Macaca mulatta: one gene and its partner. The main gene of each other region encodes a partner of the protein of the gene in region 2 in a complex. Links are inferred from orthologs where the notes say so. Each region holds a gene or a part of one and is shown on either strand. Other genes may lie near its edges. The genes, in order: PNPT1 and SUPV3L1.

Region 1 (9,844 bases), on a different chromosome or scaffold from region 2:
CCTGGCCTCAAGCAATTCTCCCGCCTTGGCCTCCCAAAGTGCTGGGATTACAGGTGTGAGTCAAGGTGCCTGGCTCCATTTACCATCTTAGTACAGTCTCTTATCATCTCTCACCTTGTTGACTACAGTAACATTTTAACATACAAATAGGATTGTTTCCCTACTTAAAAATCCTTTAGCCAGGCGTGGTGTCTCCCAACTGTAATCCCAGGACTTTGAAAGGCTGACACAGGCTGATCACCTGAGGTCAGCAGTTCAAGACCAACCTGGCCAACATGGTGAAACCCCATCTCTACTAAAAATATCAAAATTAGCTGGGCATGGTGGTGCCTGTCTATAATCCCAGCTACTAGGGAGGCTGAGGCAAGACAGTTGCTTAAACCCAGGAGGGGGAAGTTACAGCGAGCCGAGATTGTGCCAATGCACTCCAGCCTGGGCGAGAGTTGAGACTCCATACCAAAACAACAACAACAAAAAACACTTGAGAATTTCTCCCAATGCTTTTAGGACAAAATATAAACTCCTAAATATTGCCTATAAGGACCTTCACGTTCAACAGAAGGGGAAAGAATAATCTTCAATTCAATGAGGAAAGAGTAGTCTTGTGAGGCAATAGTGAACAACCGGATGCAAAAAAGAATGAATCTTCATAAATTAACTCAAAATGGATCCTGGACTTAAACGTTAAGAGCTAAAACGATAAAAGTCTTAGAAACAAAACACAGGAGTAAATCTTCAGAGACTTGGGCCAAAGTCTTAAATATGACATCAAAAGCATAAATGACAAAAGAAAAAATAGGTAAGTTGGATTTCATAAAAATTTAAAACTTTAAGAGTAAAAGAAGTGCCATATATTAAGAGAAAAATATTTGCAAACCAAGTATCTGATAAGGGACTTGTATTAATATCTAGAATATTTAAATAATGCTTACAATTCAACAATAAAGACAACTGAATTTTAAAACTTGGCAAAGAGGCTGGGCGCAGTGGCTCAAGCCTGTAATCCCAGCACTTTGGGAGGCCGAGACGGGTGGATCACGAGGTCAGGAGATCGAGACCATCCTGGCTAACACGGTGAAACCCTGTCTCTACTAAAAAATACAAAAAACTAGCCGGGCGAGGTGGCGGGCGCCTGTAGTCCCAGCTACTCGGGAGGCTGAGGCAGAATGGCGTGAACCCGGGAGGCGGAGCTTGCAGTGAACTGAGATCCGGTCACTGCACTCCAGCCTGGGTGACAGAGCGAGACTCCGTCTCAAACAAACAAACAAACAAACAAACAAAAAAACACTTGGCGGCCAGGCGCGGTGGCTCAAGCCTGTAATCCCAGCACTTTGGGAGGCCGAGACGGGCGGATCACGAGGTCAGGAGATCGAGACCATCCTGGCTAACACGGTGAAACCCCGTCTCTACTAAAAAATACAAAAATCTAGCCGGGCGAGGTGGCGGGCGCCTGTAGTCCCAGCTGCTCGGGAGGCTGAGGCAGGAGAATGGCGTAAACCTGGGAGGCAGAGCTTGCAGTGAGCTGAGATCCGGCCACTGCAGTCCAGCCTGGGCAACAGAGCAAGACTCCGTCTCAAAAAAAAAAAAAAAAAAAAAAAAAAACACACTTGGCAAAGGACTTGAACAGACATCTCTCCAAAGAAGACATACAAATGGCCAGTAAGGACATAAAAATATGCTCAATATCATTAACTATCAGCAGGGAAATGCAAATCAAAATCACAACCTGTTATGAATGTTCCTTGTAGCATTATTCATAGTAGTTCCCAAATGGAAACAACCCAAATGTCCATCAACTGATGAATGGATAAGCTAAATGTGGTATAATTCATACAACGGATTATTATTCAGTGATAAAAAGGAACAAAGTACTTATACATGTTACAACATGAATAAACATTGACAACATTATGTTAAGTGAAAGAAGGCAGTCACAAAAGACTATGTTTCCACGTAAGAAACGTTCATAATAGGCAAATCCACAGAGATGGAAAGTAGATTAGTGGTTGCCTGGGGCTGGGGAGAAATACTAAGTGACTACTACTAATGAATTTCGTTTTAGGGTGATAGAAGTGTTCTAAAATTGATGGTGGTAATGGCTGCAAAACTTTGAATATACTAATATCCATTGAATTATACACTTTATTTATCTGTATTTATTTATTTTGAGATAGGGTCTTGCTCTGTTGCCCAGGCTGGAGTGCAGTGGTGCCATCACAGCTCACTGCAGCCTTGACCTCCCAAGCTCAAGCAATCCTCCCACCTCAGCCTCCTGAGTAGCTCGAAATACAGGTGTGCACCACCATACTGGCCTAATTTTTAAATTTTTTTGTAGAGATGAGGTCTCATTATGTTACCCAGGCTGGTCTCAAACTCCTGGACTCAAACTCAAGCAATCCTCCTGCCTTGGCTTCCCAAAGTGCTAGGATTACAGACATGAGCCACTGCTCCCAGACGAGTTGTACACTTTAAATGAACTGTATGGTATGTGAATTATATCTTAATAAAGCTGTCTTATATACATGAAATAGGCAGCACTATCAGCCTTATTCCCCAGTTTCAGCAGAGAATGCAAAAAGAGCTTACTGAGGTCTTGAAACAGACCAGCAAAACTTGTCAAAGAGCTCAAGATTCATCAAAAGGTGTTTTGAGATGAAACCAAGTCAGTGACCCCTGAAGATACAGAGGAAGATGCTCTGTCACATGAACTCAGCTTCAGCAACCTTCTTTCATAGTCTGGTGCTGAAAATGCACAAACCAAACACAAGCATGCAGACAGGCCCAATGCCCTGCCCCAAATAAGATTATTCTGTCCTTCACATACCAAAGAGATGAAGGAACAACCCTTAATATTTTCACCTGTTAAATACCTTTGCCAGAAGCCTGAGTTAATGAAAAGCATATTCATCTGTTCAGTTAGACCCATTTTGTTAAGTTTGAAAGTCAGAACAAAGTATGTACATTTAATACATGTTAATAAATAGTGATTTTGTAGTACCAAATTCTTGACTCTGAAATATTAGTTTTTTTTTTTTTTGAATCAGGGAATATTTGATAAGTTCTAGTTGGGTTTCTACTTAGTCAATACAGATGGTATAATGATGAAAGCCTACAATAAAATGGGTGTCCTCTGACTAATGGGAATAATGAGGTACAGAGAGGAGGCTGGTGCTGGATTAATACGTGGAGTAGATGGAAGGAATGGGATACTCAAAACCAGTCATACTGTGTAGTATCACAGACCTGCAACAACCTATAGCTGAAATCAGTATTAAGTAATGGTTTCCTGTGGCAAATGTAAATTTGGCATCTTGAAATTTTGTTTAACCCCAAGTAAGATGCTACCAATACTTCTCAAAACCTACCAGGAACTGGCATTCTGTCTACCAGTGTGAATTCTGAATACCTAAGTGATCTCTGTGAAGGGGAGTGGAGGATCTTTAACTAGACTACAGTGGGCCCAAAACACAGGGAAGAAAAGCTGTGACAGCTACAGGTCTACTCCATTAATGGGGCTACTGCCTTAGCATTTTGCCCACAGTGGCATACTCTTTTGAATATCCTCAGTGATTTGATGCATAGTAGATGCTCAATAAAAGACTGCTGAAATGAAAATTAAACACCTGCCTCCAAGGTTACCGTGAGCATTAAATATACTATCTGAAAAACACCTACAATAATTATATAATCTTCTAGAATGCAGTAAAGAATACATATGGTAACAAATATAATGTGTCACTCAATAAATGTTGCCAATGGCAAACAAGACAAAAATGAAAGAATTTATCCAGCAAGTATGATATTTATGAGTCTAGTTATTTCAATACATGACACGAGTTTAAAGAGAACTATCTACAAAAGAACAGGTTGATTAATAAAAGAAAGAGTCAAAGTAGATTATTTATGGAAAATATGGAGGGTAGGAGCTGCATCTTGTTTTGAGTATCTAGTGCCTATCTCACAGTACGTGACTGTTGAATGAAATGTTCTGGGCATTTCTTCGAAGCATGTGCAGTCCTTGAAGAATGGAAAAGATGTCCTCTTCCCTCAAAAATCAGAATTAAGGAATGCTGGGAGTGGAATGAGCCTTAGAGATAACCTAGTTTAGGGGTGACCAAACTACAGCTCATGGCCTATTTCTGTACTACTCTGTAACTAAAAATGTTTTTTTATTTTTATTTATTTATTTATTTTTGAGACAGAGTTTTGCTTTTGTCGCCCAGGCTGGAGTGCAATGGCACAATCTCGGCCACTGCATCCTCTGTCTCCTGGGTTCAACCGATTCTCCTGCCTCGGCCTCCCAAGTTACTGGAATTACAGGTGCCTGCCACCATGCCCAGCTAATTTTTGTATTTTTAGTAAAGATGGGGTTTCACCATGTTGGCCAGGCTGGTCTCCAACTACTGACCTCAGGTGATCCATCCACCTCAGCCTCCCAAAGTGCTCGAATTACAGGTGTGAGCCACTGTGCTGGGCCGTTTTTTAAAACATTTCTAAAGGGTTTGTAAACACATACACACAGTGTATACCCCAAAAAGCCTAATATATATATTATCCAGTCCTTTACAGAAAAAGTTTGCAGACCCTTAATGGAATCCAGTCTCCACACTTTGCACAAGAAAATGGTGAATTAACTTGTTCAACGTGAATTACTTATCAAAGTTAGAGTGGGAGACCTGGATTCAAAACGATTTTTTTGCTTTTTGTATGAACTGGGGTCAAAATTTTTTCAAAGTACACGTAAGAAATTTAGATAAGGCCGGGCGCGGTGGCTCAAGCCTGTAATCCCAGCACTTTGGGAGGCCGAGACGGGCGGATCACGAGGTCAGGAGATCGAGACCATCCTGGCTAACACGGTGAAACCCCGTCTCTACTAAAAAATACAAAAAACTAGCCGGGCGAGGTGGGGGGTGCCTGTAGTCCCAGCTACTTGGGAGGCTGAGGCAGGAGAATGGCGTAAACCTGGGAGGCAGAGCTTGCAGTGAGCTGAGATCCGGCCACTGCACTCCAGCCTGGGCGACAGAGCAAGACTCCTTCTCAAAAAAAAAAAAAAAAAAAAAGAAATTTAGATATATGAAGTTTGCATTAGCAATTCCATTTATTCTAAAAACGATTAAAGCATAAGTTTTTTCTTTTTTAAACGGTCCCTTAAAAAAGTACGGGCTTTGTAAGCAAGAAACAGAAATTCAAAAACCACCTAGTCCCACAATACTTTTTAATTGACTCTTAGAAAGTTATCTAACCTTTTTTGAGCCTCTACAAAACGAGGGTAATAGTACCTTTACGACAGGTTTAAAAAGATTGCGAGGATCCTATAACTGGCGTTCAAAAAACTGACTTTTCCTTTCCCTCCTAACCGGGGGTCATAGTGGCCACACTTTAGGCAATCAATTAGATTGGATGACGTGATACATCCACGTCAACTCGTTATCCCTAGGTGGAATGTTTCCCACTTAAGAGTCCAGTGGTCCCGGAAAGTAAAGAGATCGGAAGTCAGGTGGAGGGACAGAGTCGGATGGAGCAAAGAAGCCCGGCACACACCAACAGAGGGCATGAGATAGCGCGGGAAGAAGGAGGGTCCGAGGAGTCACATTCCAAACCCGGAAAGAGAAATTTGGAATTTAGATTTAGGGTAAAGAGAGATTAAATAGACCTAGGATACTGGGTTTCTACCCTGGGAGACGAATACGCTCAGGCTGGCTGGACAGGACGCCTTATGACAATACAGGGAACGCACGCCACTCCTTACCTGTTGCCTAAGTCCACGGCCACAGCTCGAGACCCTGCGCTACTCCATAGTGCACGCGCCTGCAACTGGGTGAGTGCCCGATCCCGCCCTGGCAGACGGAAGGGACCATCGCTCCGGGGCCGGAGCCGGAGGCACGAGCTGCAGTACCTGCAGGCAGCCATGACACCCGGCACGCGATCAACCCAGGCTGTGCCCTGATTGGCTCACTCCTCAGACCGTGGGGCGGAGCCTGATGCAGTTTCGTTTTCCGCGGTGCCTAAGGGACGCCGGGACAACGGAAACGTTGGCCACCTTCTACGAAGACTAGAGAGGATCAAACCTATCAGAAAGCGATTATGTTGTAAACGATCTTTGTTGTTATCTGCCAATGAAAGGCAATTAGATAAATAAGGTTTTTGTGTGTGTACTATCGTAATTTAAAGGAGAAGTCCTAGAATAATGTACACGTGTAATATGCAGAGTAAATTTATATTTACTCTTATTACTAGAAGTCATAGAACAACACATTATTATTATTTGACTCTGTGAACTAAGAATTAGAATTTGTGTGGTGGGCCTTTGGAAAGAGCTCTCCCTCTCCCCTTCTCCGCCCTGGTTTTTATTTTATAAATTTCACATAGCAGATATGACACTGCAGCGATTTGTGTTAACCGATTTACAGCAAATTAATTCATTTTTCATCGACTTGTAATTTTAGAAATATTTATTGTCATTTCTGATTCATTTTCATTTCCATTGCTAATAATTAGAAATTTATATTCCTGTCCCTTTTGGTCGAACTCTTTTTTTTTTTTTTTTTTTTTTTTTTTTGAGACGGAGTCCTGCTCTGTGCCCCAGGCTGGAGTGCAACGGCGCGACCTCGGCTCACTGCAAGCTCCGCCCCCCGGGTTCATGCCATTCTCCTGCCTCAGCCTCCTGAATAGCTGGGACTACAGGTGCCCGCCATCACGCCCGGCTAATTTTTTTTGTATCTTTTAGTAGAGACGGGGTTTACACGGTGTTAGCCAGGATGGTCTCGATCTCCTGACCTCGTGATCCGCCCGCCTCGGCCTCCCAAAGTGCTGGGATTACAGGCTTGAGCCACCGCGCCCGGCCAGGTTCAACTCTTAAATGCAAAATGCCAGCTACTGTTTGAAGTAAATATTTTGTAAAATGAAAAAAAAAAAAAAAAGTTTTTGGGATTTGAACAATTTTTAGAGAGTGGGTAAATTTCTTCCATCCCATTAATCCGTTCCGTTAGAAATTCTTTATGTTGTTCCTTTAATGAACCAATGAGCATTTTCATATTATGATGTATATTTCTTGTATAAGGTCATAACCGCCTTCCCCCAAAGAAAACCAAGCAACAAAAACCCAACACTCATTCAAACACAGTTTTCAGAATTAAAAACGTTGGCTGGACGCGGTGGCTTGTAATCCCAGCACTTTGGGAGGCCTGTAATCCCAGCACTTTGGGAGGCCGAGGCAGGCGGATCACCTGAGGTCGGGAGTTCGAGACCAGCCTGACCAATATGGAGAAACCCCCGTCTCTACTAAAAATACCAAATTAGCCGGGCGGGGTGGTTCATGCCTGTAATCCCAGCTACTCGGAAGGCTGAGGCAGGGTAATCGCTTGAACCCGGGAGGCAGAGGTTGCAGTGAGCCGAGATCGCGCCATTTCTACAAGAGTGAAACTCCGTCTAAAAAAAAAAAAAGTCCTGGCGCGGTGGCCCACGCCTGTAATCCCAGCACGCTGGGAGGCCGAGGCAGATGGATCACGAGGTCAGGAGAACCAGTTCATCCTGGCCAACAGGCTGAAAACGCGTCTGTACTAAAAATACAAAAATTAGCTGGGTGTGGTGGCGCATGCTGTAATCCCAGCTACTCCGGAGGCTGAGGCACAATAATTGCTTGAATCCAGGAGGCGGAGGTTGCAGTGAGCCGAGATCACGCACTGCACTCCAGAGCGAGACTCCATCTCAAAAAAAAAAAAAAAAGAAAGAAAGAAAAGAAAAATGTTGATCCATGATTTAAAAAAGAAAAAAGAATGATGAACTCTAAACAGATAAATGATTTGGTGGCAAAGCAGCTTTCTGACACCTTGCTTTCATGAGCTATTATTACTGATTTGGGATTTCCGTGCCAATAGAGGGATTACCATTAACCTTGTTTACAGATTTTTAGTGTTAAAGCAGTTTTTGCGTCTTCTCCCTTTTACTTTACCTTGAGTTGCCACATTTTCAAGACCAATCAATCTATTGAAATCTGTCATGAAGATAAATGTCTCAGAAAACCTACTTGCCACAGTTGAACATGACTTTTGATTTATAGAGTAAGAACACAAAATCATCTTTTGGTAATATACTTAAGTACTATGTAATCATTTTCATTTAGGCAGTATTGCCTAATAGTTTAGAGCATAGACTTGGAGTTAGTCCCAGCTGGTTCCGATCTTGTCTGTTAATTACCAGTTGTGTGACCCTAGCTCTCTGAGCCTCAGTTTCCCCATAAAAATGGATAGTAACATGAAACTAACAGGGTTTTTGTAAGGATTAAACATGTCAGATGATATATTTATAATAGTACCTAGCACATTGTCAACATCAATAAATGGTAAATTTAGCTATTATCCTGCCTTTTCCTTTTCTTTTAAGACGGAGTTTTGCTCTTGTTGCCCAGGCTAGAGTGCAGTGGCACAATCTCAGTTCACTGCAACCTCTGCCTCCAGGGTTCAAGTGATTCCCCTGCCGCAGGCCTCCTGAGTAGCTGGGATTACAGGCATCCACCACCATGCCTGGCTAATTTTTTGTATTTTTAGTAGAGATGGGGTTTCATCATGTTGGCCAGGTTGGTCTATAACTCCTGACCTCAGGTGATTCACCCGCCCTGGCCTCCCAAAGTGCAGGGATTACAGGCGTGAGCCACCGCACCCGGCCTTATCCAGCGTTTTGTTAATTCTTCCTCCAGTTTCCAGGTATTCTGAACATCTTTCTCTTCTTCAGAACTCCTTGAACTCCTTGAATCGGTTAGCTTTCATCCAGCCAGAAATAATGGAAAGCAGCATTTACCTATTAAGAATCCCCCACCCCCATTTCCTCACATAAACCTGATATAATTCAAATAGTAGTAATTGGATAGTAAACTCAAAAGCAAATGTAGGCACTAAAATCTTGTAGCAGAGCTTTGTTATGAAGATATAGATGATACGGAATACGTTTATATGTTTATATGAAGCATTTTTAGATTAGCGTAGAAACAAAAATATAAAACGTTTAAATTCTTGTAGTTGTTACTACTGAAGCTATAATCCATGAGGTTCAGTCTGAGATGTTATTCTGGAAGTAGAGTTATGTTTCCCTCAAGTATAGTTCAACAGCCAAAATATAATTTAAAAGGAATTTATTTACCTATGATTGTTGAAGGGCATTAAAAATGATCCAACTTAAATCCACTAGCAACTTCTCAGATCTCCTTTTCCCTTTTCTTCAAACTCCAATGAACCTGCATCAAAATAGTTAATATCACTACACGCTCTGAATAAGCAACTACAGTTAAATAAAACATCATTGCATTAAGTTGTGTTTAACTACTTTTTTTTTTTTTGAAATGGAGTCTTGCTCTGTTGCCCAGGCTGGAGAGCAGTGATGTAATCTTGGCTCACTGCAACCTCCGCCTCCTGGGTTCAAGCAATTCTTCTGCCTCAGCCTCCCAAGTAGCTAGGACTACAGACGTGCACCATCACGCCCAGTTAATTTTTGTATTTTTAGTAGAGACGGGGTTTCACTATGTTGGCCAGGCTGGTCTCCAACTCCCGACCTCAGGTGATTTGCCTGCCTTGGCCTCACAAAGTGCTAGGATTACAGGCATGAGCCACAGAGCCCGGCCCTTTAACTACATTTTAATTTAGTTTGTAGTTTAGTTTAGACAGGGTATACATTTATATTGCTTTTATGACTGAAAGCTGTAACACTATGGAAGTTATATTTTGTTATATAGTAACATTATAATTAAAAGTATCAGCAGACCCTGAAGTGTTCAGGAAAAAGTTTTTGTCTTGTAAGAATGTAGCCTACTCAACTCTAAGGAAGTCTGCTCTACACCGCTACCAGAAGGATC
Region 2 (8,933 bases):
ATTACTCTCGGTCATTTTCTAACCACATTTTATTAGATTACCAGGTCTGTATAGTGATAGTTTCTAAGCCTTAGTCCACATCCCATGTTTAAGTTCAGTGGAATCCATAATAATCCAAGGAGGGCTCTCAGGCAAGTACTTCAAAATCTGTGAGAAGACTGCAAGGATAGGAAAGGGCTTTCAGAAAGAGCAACATGACCATAGTGAAATGGGAATGAACACCTGGAATTCAGCTGGCCCTGAAGCCCACAAAGAAAGGTAAGTGACATGTCAAGCTTGTTGCAGAGAAGGAAGACTAGGCTGCTTTCTTGGTGACAATTTTAGGTACACTGAAGAGAACTCTCCAGGGCCACTCCAATTCTACTCTTCCTGTTTCGCTTCACATGCTGCCATCTTTTCTTTAGTCTCTTCTTACTACGGTGCCCTCTTTTCCCTCCAAGGGAAGGAGGACTGAAAGGGCAAACTATCACTATTTATAAATGCTCATTAGCTAAATGTTCAAGCAGCCCTTCCCTTACAGCACCTCCCACCCCCACCTCTCTTATTGGAGGCTTTAACTTTATTTAACTTATTTACTTATTTATTTAGAGACAGAGTCTCGCTCTGTTGTCCAGGCTGGAATGCAGTGGCATGATCACTGCTCACCGCAGCTTCCACCCCAGCCTCCCAAGTAGCTGTACTACTGGTGAACGCCACCACACCTGGCTAATTTTTAAAAATTTTTGTAGAGATGGGGTCTCACTGCGTTGCCCAAGCTGGTCTCAAACTCCTGGCCTCAAGCGATCTTCCTGCCTTGGTCTCCCAAAGTGCTGGGATTACAGGCATGAGCCACTGTGCCCAGCCACTTCCTTATTGAACATATTCAGGACTTTCCACTTGCCTTAGTTTTTAAGTGTCTCGCCTAAGTCTTTTCTCTGACTTACCAACTCTGGCCCCCAAACTGGAGAAAACAGGAGAGTTAACAGCACTATAAGTGATGTACCCCATCACTTAAATACAATGGGACCAAATCCCCTATTTGGTTCAGTTCATAGATATTTCTTGTAACCATCTGGACAAGCATGATTATGTCTGCTATGGTGTAAGTCACAGGGGTAAGCAAATTTTAGAAGCTGCAGTTGCCTCGTTGCAGAATATCAAGAGATAAGCCCTTCCAGGCATTTCACTAGTTTATCCATAAGCAAGGCAGATACAGATTGAGTGCCACCCACTTAGCCTTTATTTCCATGAAGGCAAAGGTCAGAATGAAGATTGTCATCTCAGTTAAATGTCACCTCTAAACTACCGAAGAAAAAAGCAGAGAGAGGTTGCTAATCTGGCTACGTTCCCTCACCCAATTTGAATCAAATCATATTTAATCCCTACTGTGATGTCAGCCTCAATTCAATAGTTGCTCAAGAAATTAGTTCAGTTGTCAGAATAATCTGAGAGCTCAATTCACAGCCCAGACTGGACCCAAACCTTCAGGTTCATTTATATAATAAAATGCTTCCTGTGTGCCAGGCCCTGTGCTAAATGGCACATGATCACATTTAACCTCCAAAACAACTCTAAGTGAGCGTACTGACCATTTTCTTCAAATGTGAGATCAAGCCCAGAGACGGCAAGGCTACTAAGCTGTGAGTGATAAGAAAAGGAACCACATCTGTCTAATTCCAAAGCTTCCACCTTTAAACCCCTTTTAGCTAGGTTTCTGAACAGGGTTGAAAACTTTGTTGGACAAGCATAGGCCACTATGCATCAGACTGGCCTTTGGACAAGGGAAGACCACCCTACCTAAAACAGCCCATCCCTGCCACCCAGCATCACTCTTTACTTATTCTACTTCTTTCTAGCAGTCTTCTCTAAAATTACACCCATTCATCTCACAAAGACTGATTTCTGCTATATTCCAGACACTGTGGATTCAGCAGTGAAACAGACTACAATCTCTGTCCTCATCGGCCTGACATGATTTGTTAACCTGTTCCTGTCTCTCCTACCAAATATGAGATCCATGAGGGTAGAACATTGCCAGTCTTGCTTACTGCATATTTCCAGCACCTAAATAGCCTCTGGTATATGGGTACAATAGACAGCAATGTTTGTCAAAGAATTCCATCCACGACATCCTCAGCATGGCATAGGAAGCTGGTCAAACGATTCACCAAAACGATTTTATTCCCATGCAGAGTTCCTTATGGTGCACTGTCTCAGTACTCTTCTACAAATGGCCATTATATAAAGATTTAAATTAAACCTCTATGATATCCTAGTATTTTCTAAATGTTGAAAAAAAAAACCAAAACAGTTTAGTCATCAAGAGTGATTTTTCTGTGCAAAAAAAAAAAAAAAACCACACACACACACCCCCCCCCCAACACCAAAAAACTCCCAGTACCAGATAGCCACAATACGAGAGCAGGGAGTAAATGCGTATGAGGAAAAAGGATTCAAAATAGATTTTTATTTGCAAAATTAAATTAAAAAAAAGAAAAAAAAAAAAAAAAAAAAAACCAGGAACAGAAAACTAGTCCGAATCAGGTTCCTTCTTCTTTCTTCTTGTCCCTTTTGGATGAGTCCCAGACTCCGTTCTTTCTTTGCTGCATTCAGTCTGTTGTGTCATCCACTCTTTTTCTAGCTGTTTCAGCATGTCTGGAGTGAGGAGTCCTTGCTGCACCAATCTGGAAGCAAGGGACAGCTCTCCTGCATTGGCGCTGGGTGGCTCAGTAGCTTTACTCCCTAGAGCTTTGGTGCCGCGTGTCCTTCTAGCTTGGCTCTTTAAGGTTCCTGACAATCGTGACTGGCTCACTGATGGAAAGCTCTCCAAATTCAACAGCTTATGCGTCTCAGACACTTTAATCAATTTAGTGATATTGTGCACACCATCTTGGATAATACCATCTAGTTCCTTCTGGAGATCTCGAATAAGGCTGGCATCTGGAAACATATCCATAAATCGGTAGCTGGGAAAAAGACACATTAGCATTATGGCAACAGCTCTTACTGCAGTCACTGGACTACTCTCAATGGCACACCTACATCTTGACATTGATTAATTCTAAATGTTCTTTTTGCAAACTCTCTTCAGTGCCTTTGCTCAACCTTTATTTCTGCCCCCACACATCCGAGGAATATGTCATCCTGAGGGAGGGTCAGCACTATACCTCAACAGACTCTTGATATACTCCTAGAGAGGGACATGCACCTCCTTTAAGAATCACTGGCCTAGAACAGGACTTCTCAAATGATAATGGACAAGTGAATCACCCAGGGATCTTGTTAAAATGCAGAATCTGATCAAGTCAGGGATGGGCCTGATACTCCTTAGTTCTAACAAGCTCCCAGGTGATACCAGTGCTTTTGGTCCAAGGACCATCCTTTGACCAGCAAGAGTCCAGTGGACCTTCCTTCTCACCCAGCCAACTTAACTAGAATTGTAATAACTCAAGTCATTTTTGGAATGGGTATAAACCATTCCATCAGTTGAACTGCCTTTATGGACAACAGACATAATATAGAGCATCTTGCAAATATGTCCATAATTTGAAATAGAAAAACAAATTCATAAAACCTTTAATTTGTCCTACTAGAAAAATGAGAGCACATAAAGGAAAAATGTTGGTACCTTAGCCACAGGTAAAGATCCAAGACATCGTGCACGGCTTCAAGATCCATGAGGTCTTTAATATTCCTAGGTGGAAGTAAAGGCCATTTGATGTATCGGCGTAACCATGCAAAGGTCAGGGGCTCATTCCTGCTATACTGCCTGGCAAACTGAGAGGGAAAGAGGAAAAGAGTTTCATAGAAGTGTCAGAATTCCCTTAAGTCTACAATTAGAAAGAGAAAAAATAAGGAAGCAAAACAAAAACATTAATTGTGGTTGTATTTCAATAGACAGGTGGTTTCTTTTCTCCTTTGTACTTTTCTCCTTTGTTAAGAACATTTAATACTTTATAAGGCCAGGTACAGTGGCTCACGTCTATAATCCCAGCACTCTGGGAGGCTGAAGCAGGTAGATCACTTGAGCCCAGGAGTTCGAGACTAGCTGGGGCAACATGGAGAAACCCCATCTCTATAAAAAACACAAAGAATTAGCTGGGCATGGTGGTGTGTGCCTGTGATTCCATCTACTCCTCAGGAAGCTGAGGTGGAGGATTACTGAGCCCGGGGAGGTCAAGGCTGCAGTGAGCCATGATCTAGCCACTGCACTCCAGCAGCGTGAGACCATCTGGAGAAAGAAAAAAAAAAAAAAAAAGAAGATGATTGCCTTCTTTTTCTAAAACCAGGGTAATAATACGTGCAGCAGAAGTTCAAGGGCTACTCTGGGCACACAACCTATAGAGTATCCCTGCTTCACAAGGAGCAGTTTAAAAAAAAAAAAAAAAGAAGAGCTGTAGAAGGACTAACTTTCCAGGGCCTGTCTGTTAACTCTTATTTAGGAATATGTGATGTTCTAAGCTATGGACAGACAGTACCTGAAGACTCCTATTTCTATCTCATTATGTAATAGTCCTATAACCTCAAATATGAGCTTAAGTTTATCTTGTTAATGTTCTCCCTTATTATATAGAATCCCTCTGAGGTGGCCTGGTGCAAGGCTGGTCGGAAGTCAATCTTGGCTCTGCCTCCTGCGAGCTGTGTGGCTTTGGCCAAGTCACCACTCTGTGCTTCAGCTTCCTCACTGGTAACATGAGACACCACAGCCCTGTCTTGAACCACAAGACACTGCTGGGGAATGTGCTTTGAAAACCATGTTGCATTCCAGACATTAGGCAATATTATACATCACCTGTACTACAGAAGATAGACATACAACCACACAGTAAGACCCCTCAAGCAAGAGTTTACATAAAATCTTCAGCTTCAAGATTCAAGCTGATTTCAAATGATTCATTTCCTAATTAGGGGAAATTATCTCTAAATGCTTAACCTAAACAAGGTCAATACTTCAGAGAGGAAGAGTAGTTTTAGATCAACTGTGTTTAAATAATGCCACAATTGTGTTAAATTCAGTCTGGTCCACTCTGCTAAGTTTAATAAATGCCAAGTAGGATAGCCATAAAAGACAGAAATGTGACCACACTGCCTGCCAGGCAGGACAGGCCAAGCATGAGTTCTCAAGTTATCTTATAAAGGCAGTAGCTCTATTTTTTTTTGGCCACAGACAACTAATGGAAGCCCAATACATAAAAGAGCTAAGTAAGGAGTTATGCAGAGAGGGCAGGGAGAGATGCCCGCCCGCCCGCCCATCCATCCATCTATCCATCCATCCGTCCATCCATCCGTCCGTCCATCCATCCATCCATCCAGCAGCTGGCCCTAAAGGAGCTCCATGGAGCACAGCTTCCAAATCACAGTCCTAAGGGGCATGGTAAGTCATCAGTGTGATTGAGCTCTTTCATAGTTCAGTAATGACAAAGATCAAGAAAAAAGGAAAAGCCTCTAGATTTCATATTCTAATTTTCAAACAGAAAACACATGGAGCGGCCAGGCAAGGTGGCTCACGCCTATAATCCTAGCACTTTGGGAGGCCAAGGTGGGTGGATTACTTGAGGTCAGGAGTTTGAGACCAGCCTGGCCAACATGGTGAAACCCCATCTCTACTAAAAATACAAAAAATTAGCCAGGCGTGGTGGCGGGCACCTGTAATCCCAGCTACTTGGGAGGCTGAGACAGGAGAATCACTTGAACCTGGGAGGCGGAGGTTGCAGTGAGCCAAGTTCATGCCACTGCACTCCAGCTGGGGCAACAGAGGGAGACTTCATCTCAAAAAGAAAACACACAGCGCATCATGGCGCACACCTGTAGTCCTAGCTACTCAGGAGGCTGAGGTGGAAGGATCGCCTGAGCCCAGGAGTTTGAGGTTACAGTGAGCTATGATTGCGCCACTGCACTGCAGCCTGGGCAACACAGCGAGACCTTAAGAAAACAAGCAACTGTTGACCTGCACGTTCCAGAGACTCCCTACACTTTAGTATAAAGAGCTTCTATTCACTAGAATAGCTCTTTAAAGGATGGTGTGAATGGGGCCAAGGCCATGGGGACTGAGTTCCACTCAGGTCAGTTTACAGCAGTTTAAGATTGTTCCATAAACTTCAACCTTATGCTAGCTAAGTTTTTCACAAATGCCAGCTCTAAGAAATATATTTTCTAGGTAAACATCTAGACATGGAAGGTCTCTAACACATATTGTTAAGAGAAAAAGAAAAGGCAAGTTTTGAGTAATTCATTAAGATAACGTTGATGGGGCTGGGCACAATGGCTCATGCCTGTAATCCTAGCACTTTGGGAGGCTGAGGCGGGTGGACTGCTTGAGCTCAGGAGTTCGTGACCAGCCTGGGGAACATGGCAAAACCCTGCCTCTACAAAATATAAAAAAATTAGCCAGGCATGGCACGTGCCTGTAAGCCCAGATACTCAGGAGTCTGAGGCACAAGAATCGCTTGAATCCAGGAGGCAGAGGTTGCAGTGAGCTGAGATGGCACCACTGCACTCCAGCCTGAGCGACAGAGTGAGACTCTGTCTCAAAACACAAAAGATAATTTTTTACAGGGAAACGGACCCTCACAAATCTAGTGTTTCCATATGAACATGCATGTAGGCAAACGCAGTGAAAAACAGTCTGCAAAGATACACACAAACTTACACAAGTAGTTATTTCAGAGGACTAAGATTGGGAGGGAGCCACATTTAAGCTATCTGTAATGTTTTCATTTTGTATAAAGAGAATGTATGTATTATTTATGTAATTTTTTTTTTTAAAGGACAGAGTCTTGCTATGTTGCTGGAGATGTTCTCGAACTCTTAGGCTTAAGCAGAGTTGGCCTTCCTGCCTTGGCCTCCCAAAGTGCTGGGATTACAGGCATAAGCCACAGCACTGGACTATTTACATTATTTAAAAAATAAGTTTAGAGATAGATTTGATTAGAATATAGTTCGTATGCAGAATGCTCAGGCCTACAGAGGAAATGGCAATGAACCTCAGTGAGTCAGGACAAGATTCAGAGAAGGGGAGGCCTTTGGGTTTAGTGGGGTGGGGAGAGCATGCAAAGCAGAGGAAATAGGGCGGGCAAGGTCCCAGAGAGGTGAGAGAACAGCAAGTCGGGGCAGGAAGTTCAGTGTCCACTGTCCTTCCTGGCCCCCAGGAATCCTGTGCTTCTCAGAAGTCAGAGATTTGCATCCCTGCCCAAATGAGTAAAAAGGGGCTAGAACCCTGGCATGGTGCTCATACAAGACAGTAACTCCTGGCTCAGTGCTTTACACTTAAGAAAACTGAACATGGCTGGGCGCGGTGGCTCAAGCCTGTAATCCCAGCACTTTGGGAGGCCGAGACGGGCGGATCACGAGGTCAGGAGATCAAGACCATCCTGGCTAACACGGTGAAACCCCGTCTCTACTAAAAAAAATACAAAAAACTAGCCAGGCGAGGTGGCGGACGCCTGTAGTCCCAGCTACTCGGGAGGCTGAGGCAGGAGAATGGCGTGAACCCAGGAGGCGGAGCTTGCAGTGAGCTGAGAGCCGGCCACTGCACTCCAGCCTGGGCGACAGAGCGAGACTCCGTCTCAAAAAAAAAAAAAAAAGAAAACTGAACACTATTGCTACTATTAATCCCTATTTAAGTTTTTACAAAGTCTCTCATATTACAGAGTACTCTTCTAATTGTTTTATGTTGAATAACAAAGTACTGTTTGGGGAAACTGTATGAACCTGAAGGAACTCAAAATATCTTAAAGATAAAGGCTTACCTGTAACAGTGAAGAGCACACAAAAGGCTGCTTCTTGTTGATAGGGGCCGTGCAGAAAATATACCTCACTCGCAGACTTAATGGAATATGCTGGATCAACTCTGCAGAAAATTTAAAATCATCCATATTGCAGACAAAATACTGCCCATCAACTTGTGAAAAGTCTACAAAAATATCCTGGGGAAAAAAGACATGAAATTACTGGACTGCCTAAGTCAATTAAAATGAACAATGAATAACACTCAAGCCTATAAAAGGCAATCTCTTTAATCCAGAACAAACTTCCATAAAGGCTTGCTTTAATCGCTCCCTCGTATCCTTCCCCACCTGAAATACTGAGAGGAAATTCCTCAAGACTAAAGTCCCAAAAGATTTTGAGAAAAAGTTTTCGCTTGTAAAATAAATTTTATAAATAGCAACTTCTCAAAGGCAGACTATCCATTCATGCTCATGAGGTTAAGCAGTAATCACTTGACATATCAACATTTTTAGAAGAGATTCGAAAGGGAGTTTCCACTTACAATGAGATTGGAAAGTGTTGCATCAGGGAGATGGTAGGCAAACATTTCAATCTGCTCAGCAGTTGGATGAAGACCAGCTGCCTTTTAGTAAAAGAAAAAACAATCATAAGCTGATTTAAAAAAAAAAAAAAACGACAAATTTTCTTAAGTTATTGCATGATAAAGTCCTATTCAGGCTAAGCCTCACCAAATAAATACATTCAAGCTAAACTCTCACCAAATGAAGTAAATGCCAAGAGTTTGAGTAAAAGAAAATATATCATTTTACCATTTATTACCAATTAGAAAAGCTGATGAGATGATTTAGTAAAAATGAAAGATTATGGCTACTGAGAAATTATCTTTTGCTTACATTTTAGTCATATTTCTAAAACCTATGATGATCTGACAGCGTATAAAAAACGATTTTATGGGCCGGGCGCGGTGGCTCACGCCTGTAATCCCAGCACTTTGGGAGGCCGAGGTGGGCAGATCACGAGGTCAGGAGATCAAGACCATCCTGCCCAACATAGTGAAATCCCGTCTCTATTAAAAATGCAAAAATTAGCTGGGCGTGGTGGCGGGCGCCTGTAATCCCAGCTACTCTGGAGGCTGAGGCACGAGAATCGCTTGAACCCAGCAGGTGGCGCTTGCAGTGAGCCGAGATCGCGCCACTGCACTCCAGCCTGGCAACAGAGCAAGACTC

The links.
Region 1: SUPV3L1 (region 2) and PNPT1 share a complex: the UniProt entries of both Homo sapiens proteins name them as parts of the mitochondrial degradosome (mtEXO) complex. The link is inferred for Macaca mulatta from reciprocal best matches to the Homo sapiens genes SUPV3L1 and PNPT1.

The regions. Positions count from the first base shown.
Region 1 is NC_133418.1:68,926,440-68,936,283, reverse strand, and holds the start of PNPT1 (polyribonucleotide nucleotidyltransferase 1, mitochondrial), read right to left. Parts: upstream 5,929-9,844; 5' UTR 5,911-5,928; coding exon 5,750-5,910; intron 1-5,749. UniProt on the Homo sapiens protein: RNA-binding protein implicated in numerous RNA metabolic processes. Catalyzes the phosphorolysis of single-stranded polyribonucleotides processively in the 3'-to-5' direction. Mitochondrial intermembrane factor with RNA-processing exoribonulease activity.
Region 2 is NC_133414.1:80,431,378-80,440,310, forward strand, and holds the end of SUPV3L1 (ATP-dependent RNA helicase SUPV3L1, mitochondrial), read right to left. Parts: intron 8,330-8,933; coding exon 8,249-8,329; intron 7,905-8,248; coding exon 7,728-7,904; intron 3,757-7,727; coding exon 3,608-3,756; intron 2,946-3,607; coding exon 2,510-2,945; 3' UTR 2,419-2,509; downstream 1-2,418. UniProt on the Homo sapiens protein: Major helicase player in mitochondrial RNA metabolism. Component of the mitochondrial degradosome (mtEXO) complex, that degrades 3' overhang double-stranded RNA with a 3'-to-5' directionality in an ATP-dependent manner.